Linked DNA regions of Coturnix japonica. The protein of the gene in region 2 binds, or shares a complex with, the protein of the main gene of each other region. Links are inferred from orthologs where the notes say so. Each region holds a gene or a part of one and is shown on either strand. Other genes may lie near its edges.

What was found. The genes of interacting proteins can lie anywhere in the genome.
Region 1: the proteins of GALR1 (region 2) and GAL are in contact, whole or in part, in a cryo-EM structure (PDB 7WQ3), measured with the Homo sapiens proteins. The link is inferred for Coturnix japonica from reciprocal best matches to the Homo sapiens genes GALR1 and GAL. Residues at the interface, in NP_001471.2 of Homo sapiens: Glu32, Gln92, Thr94, Val95, Tyr96, Leu98, Pro99, Thr100, His112, Gln174, Phe177, Arg180, Gln184, Phe186, Cys187, Trp188, Glu189, Gln190, Ile266, His267, Ala270, Phe275, Leu277, Ser281, Phe282, Arg285; in NP_057057.2 of Homo sapiens: Gly33, Trp34, Leu36, Asn37, Ser38, Gly40, Tyr41, Leu42, Leu43, Gly44, Pro45, Val48.

Annotation. Positions count from the first base shown.
Region 1 is NC_029520.1:8,165,433-8,169,182, forward strand, and holds the start of GAL (galanin peptides), read right to left. Parts: upstream 2,462-3,750; 5' UTR 1-2,461. UniProt on the Homo sapiens protein: Endocrine hormone of the central and peripheral nervous systems that binds and activates the G protein-coupled receptors GALR1, GALR2, and GALR3.
Region 2 is NC_029517.1:81,385,763-81,389,412, forward strand, and holds part of GALR1 (galanin receptor type 1), read right to left. Parts: intron 3,445-3,650; coding exon 3,127-3,444; 3' UTR 1-3,126. UniProt on the Homo sapiens protein: Receptor for the hormone galanin. The activity of this receptor is mediated by G proteins that inhibit adenylate cyclase activity.

The DNA of each region.
Region 1 (3,750 bases), on a different chromosome or scaffold from region 2:
TTAATCCATCATTTTCCCATTATACGTTTCGTGTAAATCTGTCTTTAGGTTAGTGTCAATTAAATCATTTTATCTGCCATTCCTACAATTGATGCTATCATTCTCACGATTTTCCATGGTTTCTTTTCTTCCTTAAGAGTTCTAAACCTCACTGCTTAGAGAGGAGAATTACAGTTTGGTCTGAAGCCTGGCTTTCATAGTTCAGCTTAAAAACAGCCTTCTGCTCAACTCCGTGGTTTATTTTCCTACTGAGGTGGCTCTTCAGCATCTGATTCCTCCACTGATGTATTTCTTGGTTTCATTTTGTGAGGAAGTGTTAAATCCAGAGAAAAATCCCAACTCAGTATGGGTTGAACAGCAAAAATGTCTTTTAGTTGTGATTGATGTGGTAATACAATCTATTTAATTTTTTAACAAAAACTGTAAGAACAATGAATGACTGTTTATATAGAATGATCTGGAAAAAGTGGATTTGAGGTGTATTTCAGCAGGAGCTGGAGATACAGTGGCTCTTTTTCCTGTGGAGCTTACTGAGAGATAAGTGAAAAAGGAAGAAATGATTCTGCTACTGAAGCTGTACAGCCAGGATAAAGGATGCAGTAAATAAATAGTGAAAGTATTCACACAGTGATGCTCAGTTTCATGAAAAATGTGTTTTTCTTCCCAGGTGGTATCAAGGTGCTTAGAGACCGTCTTCAGGTATGTATGCAAAACCTCTAATTTTATATAAGTAGTCAAAGTGAATTCTAGACTTGAGAGATGAGTTACAAGACACAACTGACTCCCATATACTGGCGTAATCCCAGCAAAACTTTGATGTTACAGGAAGAAACTATTCTATCAGGGGGAGGTCATCATCCAACTGACTAGAACTGATTCTATTAAGAGCTGTGGAGATGATGTCTGTCTTTGAGTCTGTTTCAGTATTTACTGGTGAGCCACTGACATGTAGTACCACAAGCAAGTTCAGTTACTGTTCTTTTCTGCACTGGAAACTATTATAGATTTTGTAATATTGGTGTTTTAACTGTAAATTCATAAGTTTACCGTAACTGAGCATGGAGGTCACAAGTTCAAGGCTTTCTGTGACAAAATCTAATTCTGAAAGGGAAAGACATACATTAATTTCCAGTAGAGTACAGACACTGACAGCTCTGGGTGTCCAAGAGCTATGAAGAATTCTGGATGCCAGCAAGACTGTGAATGGCTCCAAAGATCTAAAAACATAATGATAGTTTGCTGGTAAATGGAGACATTATCACAGAGCAGCTGTATTACCCAGCTCTTGGTACCTCAGCTGCTCATTATTAACCTATCAAGGCAGAAGCTGATGACATTGCATATATCTGAAAGTCATGTAGATACACAGCTGTATCACTTTTAAGGTAGTTTACTCTGTAAGTGTTTGAGAAACCTCTGGATTATTTTTTTCCTTCCTATGTGTAGAACTTGCTGCTTCCTTAATGGATGTAGAACTGAAAATATGGTAGGGTATTTTTTTTCTTTAGGAAACAAAAAACATAAAACAAAGGCAGGAATAGGTGAAAGGTCCTTTTCTTTGTCCTCCCAAAGCTTTTACTATTGTTTTTCTCCCATTTTTCCAATTTGTAATTCCTGCAATTTTCACTGAGAGTATCTTTTGTCCATTTTACCACCTGCAGCTCAGTGTCAAATAGAACTAAATATTATAGGTACCTTCCGTATGAAGGGCCATTTTCTGATCCAAATTACACTGGTATCAACCAATAATTTCCTGTTATTAGACCACTCAGTGTGCTAATAGTGCTGTTATTCACACTACATATATCATTACAACAAAACTGTCTCCATAATAAATCTTTTAAAATGGTTTTCACTTCAGGAGGCACATTGATTTTTAGGCTACTAGTGTATTTAAGAAAGAAAAAATAGAGCAAAAGGTTTGGAGGAATGTTCTGAAAATAATAATATTGCTATAAACACAATAATACTGTGAAAAATATTGCTTAATTCTACATAAAACTTAAAGGAGAAACAAATATTTGGCAGATTTAGTGACAATTAGCCAACAGCTTCAAACCTATCAAGGATGGGTTGCCAGCCAATGCAATTACACAAGCTTAATTTCCTAAAGATGTCAGACTGAAATAGAAGCTCTCCTAATGAGAGTTTATATAATAGCCTGAGGAAAGCCCCGAGATTCTGAAATAGAAATTCTAAGAAATACCATTTGTCAGGGTTCCTGGTTCTCTCTATAGTGGATCAATATATGTTGCGGATCCTGCTGTATTTTTCTAGTCCCCTGCATCCCCAGATTACTGCTATTTGGGCAAAGTGGCTGCATGTAGTAGAGCCTCTGCTCCACCACTGTCATTTATATTATAGGGCCAATCAGGGAAGGGAATGGTTTCACAGACACTCCTCTCACAATCAAACATGATAACTCTGATCTTGGTTCAAATGTAGTGTTTGTATATTGCATACATTGCAACGTTAAACAAACTAAAAATGCAGTTTGTTTAAAAAAAAAAACAAACAAAACTTCGCATACATTGCAAATAACATTAGTCCCTTATCTGACATAACATTATAACTCAGTTAGAATTTCTGCACTGGCTTTGAAATCACTTAAAATTTACAAAGGAAGTTTTCCAGATGTGGAAAGGGTTTGGCACACTTGTTCTCTGACAGGGAAGCGTTATCTGAACAGGGAGTGCTCCCACATCTTCTCAATGGAAAAAGAAATAGGGAAACAATGATGTTCTGATTTCTCACCTCTAAGTCTTTTTCACCTGAAGCCCTGGGGTGAGAATGCACTAATAGCAAATAAAAGGCACAAAGTGTTCTCCACATCACACCTGAAAACCTTCAAAACACTAAACCAACCCAGCTAAAACAATTTCATCTCAGGCTTAAATCTATTCTCAGTGGCCTAACTTTCAAATGTAGCATTTCAGCTCCAGCAGAAGTAATAAATGTTATGATCTGTTGAGAAGAGATTATGGTTCAGAAGAGATTATGCAAGGCTGAAATTTACCTTAAAATTATCTTTGTTCTCACTTGTGATTCAGGAGGATGCAAAACTTCAGTTACATTTGTTAGGATCTATAGTGAGATCCTGATGTGCGCTGAGCACTGAGAATCACTTCTGATTCTCAATGGGAACACGAGTGCTTAAGAGCTTTCAAAATCCTCATTTCCATCGATGCTTTGGACATACGAGTTAGACATATAGGCCTTTTTTTTTTTTTTTTTTTTTTTAAGTTTAAAGACTGACTGTGGAGTGAGGGGGAGAAATGTCAGTTATCTCTGCTGCATGTGACATTTTCCATGGGTCTGCAGAATAAAAATGCCAATATTATCACATGCAGGATAGGTTGAATTAGTTACCCACACAATGGTTTTCTATTGCTGAAAAAGGATGTTTATGAATTCAATTGGGGGGGGATGGGGGAGAGAAAGGGTAGGAAAGCTGCTTACTTTATGGCTTTTTGTCTTTTGTAGGCATGAATGGTGCTTATTCTTTCCAGTGGCTACAGAGGGAGCCCGTGCTCTTAATTTAGATCAGCATTTGCTCAATGCAAGGTATCTGCTTATTTGCTTGGGAGAAATCAGCAGAAAGCTGGAAGTTTGAGGCAAGCCAAAACCAAGGGCTATTAAGGTGCAGACAGTCTGTTAAAATGTATCCTTAGAAAAAGGCGCACAGACAAATTCCCAAACAAATCTCTTAAACGGCCCTAGAAAGACTGCAGTGAATTATGGTCTGGGGAG
Region 2 (3,650 bases):
TTGTTTTCTGCCCAAATTAGCCATGTTTCTGGCACAAATCCCTGCACAACTCTCCACCTTCTCAAGGGATAGACACAGTTCACAGTATTTAATACTGTTTTAACACTAACTTCCTCTGGGTTGCAGTGGACACATCAAAGCCATGGTAGAGATATGGACTAAAAGGGATATGTTTTAGCCACAAAACTGAATTCTGGAGTTATAAATGATTCTTAACACATCCCTGAGAAGTAAGCTGCAAGATTTACTGACACCCTCAGAAATCAGACAGGGAGCTATAAACATGTTCTTACTGCAGGCCTTCCCCACTCCTTCATCCTTAGAATTTCAAACTGATGAAGTCCCATTACTGACTATGATGTCACTAAGTTTAAAAGGATTTACAGTCAAGAAAAAATGCAATTTCCTCCTGAAATCATACAGTAGGGTTAAATTTATATTAGTATAAGCTTGTATTTACACTGTAATTTTTTAGTCAAATAATTTTTAAAAAGGAAAAAATACAATTTTTGGAGCTGCAAGATCACCAAATATGTTATAAATTCAAGTGTGGTCTGATAGAGACTTAATAACTTCAGTGATTGGAATCTGAAAAAACTGAAAGCTTAGTATAACAGCAACATTGTGCTAGACTGTTCTCCTACTGCCAGATCTAACCCAGAAAATGACTAGCTATAGATAAGCCCTTCTTTTCCACTTCTTTTTTCTTGTATGTTTGTGCTCCTAGCAGTAACTTCAAATTGCTTCTTCATATGAAGGACTGGACACAAATGTCATGTGTGCACCAGCATGCCTTCAGTATTATTTTATTGATTCCACGTAGACAACACTGACATGTAAGGAGGCATTTTCATGTGAGTTAGCCCTCCATAACTGACCAGTAAGTCTGTGGAGAAAAAGGCACCTGACAAAGCATCACAAAATTATTTAACAACTTTGAAAAGCTGGACACGAGCCACCTGTGTGTTCTTGCAGCTTGGAAGGCCAACTGCATCCAGGGCTGCATCCACAGTGGGGTGGCCAGCAGGGCAAGGGAGGTGACTGTCCCCCTCTACTCTTCCCTTATGAGACCCCATCTGGAGTACTGCATCCAGGCCTGTGGCACAGAGCACAGGAAGGAAGTGGAGCTCTTGGAATGTGTCCAGTGATGATGATTACAGGGCTGGAGCACCCCTCCTATGAAGAAAGTTTGAGAGTGGTGAGGAATTGGAACATGTTGCCCAGATCCACCCTGTGGATGTCCCAAACATAGAAGTGTTCAAGGCCAGGTTGTGTGGGACCCTGAGTGGCTTGATCTGGTGGGTGGTGGCCATGCCCACATCAGGGGGTTGGAACTAGGTGATCTATAAGGACTCCTCCAACCTAAGCCATTCTATGGTTATACGATCTTCAGCAAAGACCAGAACAAGGGCACAAGAATGCAAGCTTGCAGATGACACCAAACCTGTGTGGATAGCAGATACATTGGAGTGAAGAGTTTTCTTTTGGAAGCGCCTGATGAGCCAGAGAATGAACAAAAGTTATCAAATTAATAAATTACAACAAAACCACATCAAAAATCAGGCTGACTGAATGCAATTCCACTGAAAAAAATATGGGGTAAAGGGAGATGATTTGTCTCCTCTGCTCAATACTCATGAGAAAGCACGTGGAACATGCTGCCCAGTTTGGAACATTCCGGTGCATGAGAGGGATGGCCAAGCTGCAGCAAGTCCAGTGGAAGTCCAGGGACTTTGAACCTCATTTTTTCAGCTTGAAGAAGATGGGGAGAAACTCTAATTGTCATCTATTATTATGCATGTTCGGTTAGATTGAAGATTTTTCTCAAGGGCATGGTGAGAGGACAGAGGGAAATGGTTGCAAGCTACATTAAGAGAAATCCCAGCTATGACTGATGAGCTGCTGAATTTCTGTCCTTGTAAATCTTCAAAACATACCTAGACAAGAAGTGATATGGATGTGAGGGCAGCCCTGCCTTGAGAGGATCCCAAGAGGTTTCTTCAACTTAATTTGCTCTATGATTGCAGGGGTCATGAACATAAATGGTAAAAGTATATCACGCTACAGCTAACAATACATCCTCAAAATACTGAGGCCCTCACACTTTTTATTTATAATTTATATTACATACTTTGTACCAATTTAAATGTATCCTTCCAAAATTTTCCATTTTAGAGTTACATTGTATCAAACCTCTGTTAGAACTTCTAAAGGATTGCTGTTTTTAAACACTTACACATTGCTTGGATTTACTTCATGGAACATAATATTTTAAAATATATATTCATATTGCACATTTAAAACTGTACTTCCATCTCGGACTCAATAAAGTTAACAAAACACGCACACACACACATAAGACACATGCAACAGCTGAAGGAAAGCTTTCCTCAGACAAATTTCCATTTTGATGGAACTTCACACAGGCCATAAACAAAACCTTATATAGTGTACACAAAAGTTCTGTGTATGCAGTAAGGCAGGCATACAAAGAGGTAAAAAGTACATCATCGTTCACTATGTTACATTAAAAAGATAGCTGAACAGATAAAATCGGTGTTGCCTCTCTAAAGCAATCTCCTCAAATTGTACATTGGTTATTTCAACTCAAAGTCAGATCCCATCTTTACTTTAAAAATGGAAAAGACATTGGCAAAACAACCTGAACAGAGAATGAAACTTTTCCTCTCTGAAATTGTTGTCCCACAGTACTTATTATCTGTAAGTCAGAAAAATTAGCCATCTTTTTGCTTCTATAGAGTAAGATGTGAGAAAATTCAGTGATTTACCCATACCGACAAATACCTCTTGTATGTTACATTTGAATGCTTATGCACATTATGCTTAATGAATAGGAACACACACAAGTCATCTCCAATGTTTTGTTTCTTCTGAATTATCTTTCAAAGGTCAGGAGCTTCATTTGGCAAAGCAACAATATAAGGGAGCAGCCCACTTTTCCTTCATACCAGTTTCATGAACATTTGACACAAATGCAACTTCATTATCTTAAATACCTATTAGCTTTATCAAGAAAAAGCTGCGATAAAGCTCATTGTGCTTTGTTTTCCAGAAGTGTCGTTCATTCACACAACTGAAGAGCCAGCAAACAGGACTTTCTAAAGTTCACACATGCGTACAGTTTGTAGATGGTGGTGTATCTATCCGACTCTTATTTTCTTTAGCATCATTCAGAGGTGATTCGTTACCTATCTGGCACTTGAAAACTTGTTTGTAGGCCTTTCTAAAATTTTCAGAGAGAAATGCATAAATAATTGGGTTTACAGAAGAATTGCTGTAAGCCAGGCAGTGTGCAGCTATCCTGAAGAGAAATGAAGCTTGAGTCAGTGGGAAAACTCCAAATTCAGCCCAGAGATGAATCACATGATGGGGCAGCCAGGAGATGCCGAAAACCACTACCACCACCAACACAGTCTGTGCTGTCTGAGACAGGGAAAGGAAAACACAGATGTCTTATGAGTATTAAAAACAAGCTTATTTAAATAATTACTTGATAATAATAATAATAAAAGTAGACAGATAGAACACACTTTTGAATGTTTATTAATCATTTAACTTCATTACCTACATGGACTTTATTCTGTAGTACTGCAAGAAGAACATTAGCTTCCATAGCAAAAGAGAAACAC